Ovis aries: one gene and its partner. The protein of the gene in region 1 purifies or fractionates together with the protein of each later gene. This does not show direct contact. Links are inferred from orthologs where the notes say so. Each region holds a gene or a part of one and is shown on either strand. Other genes may lie near its edges.

Region 1 (4,431 bases):
CCTTCGAGAGCCACGTGAGAATCCTTGTCAGCTCGCATGCAAGCCTGAGAACGGAACTCTGGTTTCCTCCAGTTCCCTGACACAGTTACCACAGGGGTCTACACTTTGCAGGTGGCTCAGTGGCAAAGAATCCGCCTGCCAGTGCGGGAGCCACAGGAGATGTGGGTTTGATCCCTGGGTTGGGAAGGTCCCCTGGACGAGGGAACGGCAGCCCCCTCCAGCATTCTGGCCTGGGAAATCCTGTGGGCAGGGCAGCCTGGTGGGCTGCAGTGCTCGAGGTCAGAGTCGGACGCTACTGAGCGCGCTCACGACGCGCTGCCGTCTCAGAGGCCAGCCGGGGGGTTGCCGGGTGGGGGTGGGTGGTGCCCCCCGTACCCCACCTCACAGCTCATCCGCACCTTGGAGCTGCCTGCAGTGTTCACGGGGGTAGTGAGTCAGTGCAGGAGTGAGTGAAGCGCTCGGCCCCTGCCTGCCTCAGCCTGTGCTTGTTTTCAAAGGCGGGGAAGCTGGCAGTGGACCGCGGCTGGGCCATCAACGTAGGTGAGTGCCCCGGGGCTGGGCCTGGGGCCTGGTGGCAGCTGCTCGGATGCCGTGATGGCAGAGCTGCCCCCCGACCCAGGGACCCGGGGGCGGTGACCTGCCCCGGGGGGGTCCGTTTGCCTGGCCAGCCTGGAGGCCCAGAGCTGTCCCTGGGAGGATGGAGGGGGCACCTGGGGCGTGCCCTTGCCCAGCCCTGCCCACTCCACGACTGTCCTCGCAGGCGGCGGCTTCCACCACTGCTCCAGCGACCGGGGAGGGGGCTTCTGCGCCTACGCGGACATTACACTTGCCATCAAGGTGCGTCCGAGCGCTCGTGACGGGCGGGGGCGAGGGTGATCGTCTCCAAGAGCCTCCCTGAACGCCCCCCAGCCTAGTGTTCTCAGCACACTTTCTCACGAAGGGAGTCAAGGCCCCGAATGGGAGGGAGCTCACCTGGGTCCCTCAGCTGGGCTGAGACTCAAACGTGGACGTGACACCTGCTCGTGTCTGTTGCCTGTGGGCCTTCTCCAGGGGCCGGGGACCGGAGGAGAGCAGCTTACAGGACGCCACTAGATTATTAACAGGAGACAGGGCTCTGCTCCAGGAGAGCGGGGAGGAGACAGGGATCAAGACCTTGATGGTGGCAACAGTGACTGGCATCTGCGGGGCTCACCCCTTCACCCTCAGGGAACGGGGCCGGCAGGGCTGAGGGCACAGCCCGAAGGGGCAGTGTTGGCCGTGGCCTCCGCGGCTGTCAGAAGCCAGCGCTCTGCCAGCACCCGCGTCGGGGCTCAGGCTGGGTGTCCATGTGGTCCCCGCGGCTCCTGTTCACCCGGCGTGGGAACGGATGAGGAGGAGGGGCAGTAGACCCTGGCCGTTTGGAGAGGGAGAGGCCAGGAGGCCTGGCGGGAGGGGAGGGCAGGGGAAGGAAGGGCTTCCCCGAGGCGGTGGCTCTAGGGCCGGGCCCCTGTAAGAAGGCGGAGACGGCAAGACGGAGCTCCGGGTGCAGCTGGGAGGCGGTCCCCGCTGCAGACACACACAGGCTCCTCTGAGCCCCACAGACCTCCCGGCAGCCTGGGGTCTCCCGCAAGCACGGAGGCGCTCCCAGCCCACCCCGTCGCCGACCAGGGCCCCTGGGGGACCGCGCCCTCTCGCCCGGGGGGTCCTCACCTCTCCCCTCTCTTGCCCTGGGCAGTTCCTGTTTGACCGAGTGGAGGGCATCTCCAAAGCCACCATCGTGGACCTCGACGCCCATCAGGTGAGCGCCCGGCGGGGCTGGGGTCTCCCTCTCCCCAGGCGGCCTCCGACACACGGCCCCACGCGGTGGGGTTCCCCACCCCCAGGAACACCCCTGAGCCCCAGGCTGGGCCTCTGCTGCCCCTCCACCACCCCCCCGCCCAGGGGGCGTTCCCTGGGGCGTGCTGGGGGGTCCTGGCCTGGCCCCGGGTGGCCTGCCCTGAGCGCCTTCTGTGTCCCCACCAGGGCAACGGGCACGAGCGCGACTTCATGGGCGACAAGCGCGTGTACATCATGGACGTGTATAACCGCCACATCTACCCCGGGGACCGCTTCGCCAAGCGTGAGTGCCCCCCACCCCAGCGCGCCCGCCTGAGCTGGGCTCTGTCTGCCGGGCTTCCCCTGCGTGCCGGGCCCTGCAGACATCACTTCACTTCTTGACCCTCCCCATCCCAGGGAGGGGGAGGCCATCCCCACTTCACAGACAAGGAAACTGAGACCCGAGAGGTCGCTTGACCCACGGAAGACCGTGTAACAGCCCCCCCCCCCCCCGCCAAAGCACGCGGTGAATCCCTCTGCTGGGGTGGCTGCCTGGAGAATAGAGTGGGATTTTCTCCCGGGCATGCAGCTGTCCGGTCGAAAATAGGGAAGGACAAGAAAGAAACAGAAAAATGTAGAAGTAGAAAACGCAAGATAAGATGGCAGAAATCAGCTCAAATGTGACAGTTAAATAAATGCCAGTGGGTTAAACTCATCGATTAAAAGGCAGGAGACCCTTCGATGAAGCTTTGAAGACAGGGGGACCTGCCCACCCTGTGGGGAGGGGACACTTACGCAGAAAGCGCCTGCGGGTGACTCAGCCACTCTGTGGCCCCAGGGACCCGATTCCGAACTGAATCTCATCTCGAGCGGACTGGCTTCGGACCCGAGGGCACATGGGGTGTCTGTGTCTCTGGAGAGAGCTCACGGAGGCAGTGAGCCCAGGCGCCTGGTGTGGGTCCCTGAGCCCCAGGCAGTGTTCCATCCGCTGTCCTTGTGCTCTGTTAGCTTACTTTTGGGTGGGTGAGCGGCTGAGCAGCGCTAGAGTCAGATGGGAAAGCAGGCAGTGCCCCCAGCCCCCGTTTCCCGGCTGCACGCTGGGGCATCGCTGTCTCCCCTGCCAGAGGCCATCAGGCGGAAGGTGGAGCTGGAGTGGGGCACGGAGGATGACGAGTACCTGCAGAAGGTGGAGAGGAACCTGGAGAAAGCTCTGCAGGAACACCGCCCCGACGTGGTGGTGTACAACGCGGGCACGGACATCCTCGAGGGCGACCGCCTCGGCGGGCTGGCCATCAGTCCACAGGTGCGTCCCGGGGCGGGGCGGGGGCAGGCTCTGCTCTGGGGACTCAGCAGCGACGGGAACGTGGGTGGCACGGGCGTTCCTCCTGAGGCCAGAGGGCTGGGCGGCAGCAGCAGCATGGAGCGGGCTTAGACTCACAGCAGGACTTCCACCACCCTGAGGGTCCGAGCCTGCCTGAGCCCATCTTCCCCGTCCCCCGCACCCACCCAGGGCGTTGTGAAGCGGGACGAGCTGGTGTTCCGGATAGTCCGTGGCCGCCAGCTGCCCATCCTCATGGTGACCTCGGGCGGCTACCAGAAGCGCACGGCCCGCATCATCGCCGACTCCATCCTTAACCTGTATGGCCTGGGGCTCATCGGGCCCGAGTCTGCTAGCGTCTCAGCACAGAACTCAGACACGCCTCTGCTGCCCCTGGAGGTGCCCTGACCACGCTGCCCTCTCGGAGGCTCCCCGCCTGCAGCCCGTCCACCCACCCACCAGCCTCCCAGCGCATCTCCTCCTCCAGCCGAGGGGTCGGGGGCGCCTTGCACAGCTCCGCTCTCCCCCCGCCCCGGGTATTGGGGACTCCGGGCCCCTCTGCAGATGGGGCAGAGGGCAGGGCCTGAGTCCTGGCAGGACCCACAGGGGCACGGCCTGACCAGACCGCAGAGGTGGTGGTTCTCCCCAGAGGGAGGAGACAGGTGAGGCTCCGGTGCAGGGGGCGCTCCTCAGGGTGGGATGCTCCAGTTTTCAGCATAGCACGGCCGTTTCAGACTGAGGAGGCTTGCAGGATCGCCCTCCTGCCTCTTCCACACCCTCTCCCCCTCCCGCCAGGGGTGGGCCGTCTAAGAGGGGGCTGAGCCGGGTCTCTCTGGGCAGGGATTCCCAGGCAGCAGGCTCGAGCCCTGGTCCTGGATGTGGGGTCGCGGGGAAGGCGTGCAGGTACAGGTGGGTCTTCCCGTCTGGCTTCTCCATCAGTAAAGGAAGGGCTGGACCCGCTGTCCCTGAGCCCCTCCCCGCTCGTGGGAGGGTAGAGAGGGGAGCCTGTTCCACCAACATCTTGCTTGTCCAGAGGGAAGGGCAGGCTCGGGGTTGAGGGGCGGGGGATGAGCTCTGGGCTCAGGGACAGGACAGGCCTGAGCTCTGGAGGCCAGAGGGGTGGAGGGAACCGAGGCCTAGCCCAGGAGACCGCGGAGGGGCAGGTGGCCGGGTGGGGTCCCGCAGGCCTCGAGGCCCAGGTGGGGATTGCGGTGCTGGTGACGCCAGGCTGGGGTTGCTGGGGATGAGCGGAGGGTCTCCATCCTGGCCTGCAGCGGGTAGGGGGTTGGGGGCTGGGGTGAGGCCAGGTAGGGCTACAG
Region 2 (6,379 bases), on another chromosome or scaffold:
ACGCTAGCAAAGTAATGTTTAAAATTCTCCTGGCCTAGGCATCAACAGTATGTGAACCGGGAACTTCCAGATGTTCAAGCTGGATTTCAAACTGGATTTAGAAGAGGCAGAGGAACCAGAGATCAAATTGCCAACATCCGTTGGATCATAGAAAAAGCAAGGGAATTTCAGAAAAACATCTACCTGTGCTTAATTGACTACGTTAAAGCCTTTGTGTGGATCACACAAACTGTGGAAAAATTCTTAAAGAGAAGGGAATACTAGACCACTTTTCCTGCCTCCTAAGAAATCTGTATGCAGGGCAAGAAGCAACTGTTAGAAACTGACATGCAACAATAGACTGGTTCCAAATTGGGAAAGGAGTACATCAAGGCTATATATTGTCACCCTGTTTACTTAACTTGTACTCGGAGTACATCATGCAAAATGCTGGGCTGGATGAAGCACAAGCTGGAATCAAGATTGCCGGGAAAAATATCAATAACCTCAGATATGCAGATGACACCACCCTTATGGTAGAAAGCGAAGAGGAACTAAAGAGCCTCTTGACAAAAGTGAAAGAGGAGAGTGAAAAGGCTGACAAACTCAACATTCAGAAAACAAAGAGCATGGAATCTGGTCCCATCACTTCATGGCAAATAGATGGGGAAACAATGGAAACAGTGACAGACTTTATTTTCTTGGGCTCTAAAATCACTGCAGATGGTGACTGCAGCCATGAAATTAAAAGACGCTTGCTCCTTGGAAGAAAAGTTATGACAAACCTAGACAACATATTAAAAACAGACATTACTTTGTCAACAAAGGTCTGTCTAGTGAAAGCTGTGGTTTTTCCAGTAGTCATGTATGGATGTGAGAGTTGGACCATAAAGAAAGCTGAGTGCTGAAGAATTGATGCTTTTGAACTGTGGTGTTGGAGAAGACTCTTGAGAGTCCCTTGGACTGCAGGGAGACCAAACCAGTCAATCCTCAAGGAAATCAGTCCAGAATATTCATTGAAAGGACTGATGCTTGAAGTTCCAATGCTTTGGCCACCTGATGTGAATAGCTAACCTATTAGAAAATACCCTAATGCTGGGAAAGATTGAAGGCAGGAGGAGAAAGTGATGTCAGAGGATGAGATGGTTGGATGGCATCACCGACTCGATGGACATGAGTTTGAGCAAGCTGAGGGAGTTGGTGATGAACAGGGAAGCCTGACATGCTGAGGTCCATGGGGTCACAAGGAGTCGGACACGGCTGAGCAACTGAACTGAACTGAATGCAACAAAGGGCAGGTAATCTTAACCTCAAAAGTATTTTTGTGAATTAAAGAAAACCAGATATCTCAAGGAATTTAGCGTTATTCTATGTGTGGGAAAATGTAAGAGTTTGGGCTCACTGAAATTTCTTTCATATGTATCTCAGCTATCTCGGGCGGCCAGTACCCTGCTTTCCTCAGTACTCACTGTTTCAGTTTCAGTTCAGTCTCTCAGTCATGTTCAACTCTTTGCAGCCCCATGGACTGCAGCACATCAGGCTTCCCTGTCCATTATCAACTACCAGAGCTTGCTCAAACTCATGTCCATCAAATTGGTCATACCATCCAACCATCCCATCCTCTGGCATCCCCTTCTCCTCCTGCCTTCAATCTTTCCCAGCATCAGGGTCTTTTCAGATGAGTCAGTTCTTCGCATCAGGTGGCCAAAGTATTGGAGTTTCAGCTTCAGCATTAGTCCTTTCAATGAATATTCACGATTGATTTCCTTTAGGATGAACTGGTTGGATCTCCTTGCAGTCCAAGGGGCTCTCAAGAGTCTTCTCCAACACCACAGTTCAGAAGCATCAATTCTTCGGCTCTCAGCTTTCTTCATAGTCCAACTCTCACATCCATACATGACCACTGGAAAAACCACCGCTTTGACTAGATGGACCTTTGTTGGTAAAGTAATGTCTCTGCTTTTTAATATGCTGTCTAGGTTGGTCATAGCTTTATTCCAAGGAGCAAGCATCTTTTAATTTCATGGCTGCACTTACCATCTGCAGTGATTTTGGAGCCCCCCAAAATAAAGTCTGCCACTGTTTCCCCATCTATTTCCCATGAAGTGATGGGACCAGATGCTATGATCGTAGTTTTCTGAATGTTGAGTACTCACTGAAGAGCAGCTAAAGCCGGATCACAGGTATTATTTTCTTCCCAATTGCTCTGGAGAGCTGGAATCACTGACTACTGTGACATCCTTGTTTATTGATACAAAATGCTTCATTTCTCCTTTAATGCTTGTTCGGAGAGAGGACTTCACTCTCCCTAGAAAGTAGAAGAGCAGCAGATACCACAACAAAAATAAAAACATGTACAAATTAAAAAAAAAAAAAAAAAAAGAAAGTAGAAGAGCAGATCCAGTCCCAGTCCAGGATGTGGGCATAATGCCTGATTCCTCGACAGCGTTTGTACAAGGGAGCCTGTGAGCGCTGCTCTCCACGGCAGAGTCTGTGAGAACTTCTCAGCGACCATCTGCTCAAGCTCACCTTGCAAAGCAAAGAGAACGCTCTACATCCCCATACCTCATCCCTGGAACCCCAGCTCTCCAGCAGATTGAGAGAAGCAAAGCACGCATGCGAAGGGCGAAGCTGACATCTCAGCTGGGCGGGTCCCATGCAAGCAAGCGGTGGAAAGGCAGGAGCGTCTGCCTGGGTAGTTGCCCTAGAGGGGCGGGGTTAGCCGGCGGGAAGAGGAAGCTGCGCGGGGCGCTGGGGCCTCGGCCATGGCTCACAGGCCGAAAAGAACGTTCCGGCCGCGCCGAGCAGATTCCAGTGACAGCGACGGCGCCCAGGAGACATTTGCTGAACCCGGGGCGACGGGGGAGCAGGCGGCCCGGGACCCTGCGGTGGAAGGGCCGCCGTGTGGAAGAGGCCACGCAGAGGTGTCTGAACTGCGCCGCCGGGGCCGGGGCCGCCGCCGCGGCCGGGCCTGGGCTAGTTCCCGGCACGCCGCGAGAGCGGCTCCGCGCTTGGACGGGTCCTCGGACGTCCCAGGTGACGCTGGGCAGCAGAGTGGGCGGCCGGAGCGGGGAGTGGGGAGGGTGAGGTGGAAGTCCGCGGGACTGTCTAAAGGTTTCCGTAACGCGGTGCCTACTACAGCGGCGCTGAATCGCGGAGGTGCCTGTCTGTGAACGCTGGCCTGCTGCCTGCATGTCCATGTTGGGCCGCTTGGGGGCGTAGAAAGAACTCTGCGCGGTTTGGGCTTGTGTTTGCATCGTCAACTGAACTCTCACCAGTGACCGCTTTAGTGTTAATCTTGATGCTTTACGGAGAACCTAAATTGTCACTCAAAAGTTTAAAAATTCCTAATACTCTTCGGTAGGCGGAAGTGCTTTCTGTCCCCAATTCTTTTTCTCGAAAACACTTAACCAAACCGGTACGCTGGGAAAACTTAGGTGACAGACTTTTGGACTTTTTTTTTTTAATCGGTTATTTAAAGAAAAGATAAGCATAGCGCTGTGTCACTAACAGTAGATTGGGCTTCCCTTGTGGCTCAGCTGGTAAAGAATCCGTGCGCAATGCGGGAGACCTGAGTTAAATCCCTGGGTTGGAAAGAAGGGAAAGGCTACTCACTCCAGTATTCTGACCTGGAGAATTCCATGGACTGCATAGTCATGGGGTCGCAAAGAGTGGGACACAACTGTGCGACTTTCACTGATTGGTGACGCTGTAGACTACCAATAAAGTGTTAAATGCAATACAGCAATTTTGAAGTACCTTTGCCTTCTTGAAAATAGGATTCAGGCAGCATAAAGTTGTTTACATGAGATGTGTTCTAGTTTGAATTGAGTTTGATAATATAGTTAGAAATAAAGCTATATAGTTAGAGGAAGAAAGAAAAACACAGAAACAGACTTGGAAGGAACTTGTTTAAGTGGGGTCTTGAAGTATAAATACATTAACTTCTGACTTAGAGACGCATAAAAATATTTGAGATTATATTTCAGTCTAAAAGGAACTTCTAAAAATATTCCATCGTGAACTTAGTTGTAAAGTCTCTAGAAGCAATCAGCTTCTCCAGGTAAATGGCACTTTTTACCTACTTTGTCTTCAATCCATGGCACTCCAGAATACATAACACCCAGATTTGATGAACTGAGGTTAATCCCTGCCCTGTTAATATGAGTAGAATATCCAGTTTGTCACCTGTGGATAATGTCACCAGTAGAATGATAATTCAACATTTCTGGTTTGTCACAGGATGAAATACCATGTAGAAAACAAACTTATGTTACAAATATGTTACTTTTTTTTTCAAGATGGTATAATTTCAATAAAGTATCTGTAAAAATATATATATAGTTTTTGGTTATATAGTCATGAGGTAGGAATATTTTCACCCCAGTATTTTTAGTCCAAATGATTTGTTGATTTCTTAGTCATTGTTCATAATCATCTGTTTGTCTGAAGTGTTCATGATTTTTTTTTTAATATTTTTGTGCTTTATGTAAGTCATCTGATTAAACTTTGGTTCTCAAACGTTTTGTTCTTATCCCTTTGGTCTTAAAGTTTACCCTTTATACTCTTTAAGAATAATTAAAGATCCCAAAGAACCTTTGTTTCTGTGGATTGTATCTATGATGTTTATTGTTGTTCAGATGCTAGGTCATGTCTAACTCTTTTGTGATCCCAAGGACTATAGCCTTTCAGGCTTCTCTGTCCATGGGATTCTCCAGGCAAGAATACTGGAGTGCCATTTCCTTCTCCAGGGCATCTTCCCGACCCAGTGATCAAGCCTGAGTTTCCTGCTTTGGCTGAGGATTCTTTACTACTGAGCCACCAGAGAGGAAGCCCCTATAAGGTTTACCATATTAGAAATGAAGATGCATTTTTATTCTTTTTTAGATTTAACTCATTACATGTAAGGGTAAGAAACATTTTTATGAAAAACAACTGTTTTCCAAAAAATAGTAAGAATGACATTGTTTTCAGTTTGCAAATGTCTTTAATGTCTGGCTTATCAGAAAACAGCTGAATTCTGAAAGCTGTCTCTGCATTCAGTCTGTTGAAATATATTGTTTTGTTTGAAGGTGTGAAGAAAACCACAGATAGGTGATTAAGAGTATTTAATAGCCTTTTTAGTTCTTTGAGAGTATTCTACTTTAGTATTACAAAGAAGCTCAAAAAGTAATAGGTTTTCAAAGGTTAGTTTGCAATGGATGTCAAATGAAAAAAACACACAGTGTGAGAGTTGTGAGTTAAGTTTTGTTTGGGGCAAAATGAGAACTGTAGTCCAAGAGACAGCATTTCATATAGCTCTAAGAAACTGCTCCAGAGATGTAGGGAAGAGGTCAGTATTATATGTGATTTTAGTGAAGAGGAGTTGGGCAGTCAGAAACATACTTTATTAGAAGCTTGCTGCTAGTCATGAGGAGCAAATGTCACCAATAATGATTTTAGTGCTTTTCTAGATGTGAGGGGATGCAAGAACTGGGCTCATAAAATCTCCTGAAAATACCTGTCTGAAGGCCTGTTCTGCCAATTTTTCCAAAGCACAGAGTTCCTCATTCCTGATCTCTACCCTGAACTCCTTTCAGGATGTGTTGAAGATCAGTGACTATAGCAGTTTGTGATTTAATCCTTGTATAGACAGGAGGCAAGTGCCAATTTCTGCATGATACGTGGGAGCTGAAACCATATCATTTTGTTATGCTCAATTAGATTAAAATCCATCCATGTGTTTTGCGCTCTGAGTGAATCTTTTACCCATGCATGATTGGTAGCATCTTCGTTCCCTAAGCAGGGTTCAAACCTGCACTCCCTTCATTGGAAGGCTCAGTCTTAGCCACTGGGCTGCCAGGGAAATCCTTAGGGAGCATTTTTAAGATAGAGTAGTTATTATGCAATCTTAAATCTTAAGGTTATTCACAAATATTACAAAATAATTGTGAACCAACAAGTCCTTTTTTGTCAATAATACCATGAGTTCCTTTACGTTTTGCTCATTCAGTCCTGATAACACTTCTATGGGGTGTTCTCTTTTAATACTATCTTTGTTTATTGATTAATTGACTGTGTCCTTTCCAGAATCACACAGTGGAAATAGATCCATGATTTAGTTTGAGACTGCAGTGCCCATTATAATACTTCTTACCACCAGCCTGAATCCAAGAGTTGGATTTCTCCATTTAGTAACTTTGTGATACTGGGCATGTTATTTAGCCATTCCAGTCCCTAGTGTCCTCATCAGTAATAGCATTTACTTTATTGAATTGTGAGAACTAAATGAAATATATTTTGTAAAACAGACTTCAGTATGCCTAGCACATAGCAAGTATACATTAAGTGTTCTCTTCTTTATCTGCTTATTTACTACCACTGTTCGTCTTTTCTCTTTTAAATATTCCTTCTTTTTTTG

What was found. The genes of interacting proteins can lie anywhere in the genome.
Region 2: the proteins of HDAC11 (region 1) and GCFC2 purify together in Homo sapiens (co-immunoprecipitation; 3 studies listed by BioGRID and IntAct, counting the BioPlex papers as one, with this or other methods). This does not show direct contact. The link is inferred for Ovis aries from reciprocal best matches to the Homo sapiens genes HDAC11 and GCFC2.

Annotation. Positions count from the first base shown.
Region 1 is NC_056072.1:58,340,655-58,345,085, reverse strand, and holds part of HDAC11 (histone deacetylase 11), read left to right. Parts: intron 1-497; coding exon 498-540; intron 541-760; coding exon 761-837; intron 838-1,714; coding exon 1,715-1,777; intron 1,778-2,001; coding exon 2,002-2,098; intron 2,099-2,918; coding exon 2,919-3,097; intron 3,098-3,304; coding exon 3,305-3,520; 3' UTR 3,521-4,431. UniProt on the Homo sapiens protein: Responsible for the deacetylation of lysine residues on the N-terminal part of the core histones (H2A, H2B, H3 and H4).
Region 2 is NC_056056.1:62,829,407-62,835,785, reverse strand, and holds the start of GCFC2 (intron Large complex component GCFC2), read left to right. Parts: upstream 1-2,703; 5' UTR 2,704-2,744; coding exon 2,745-3,015; intron 3,016-6,379.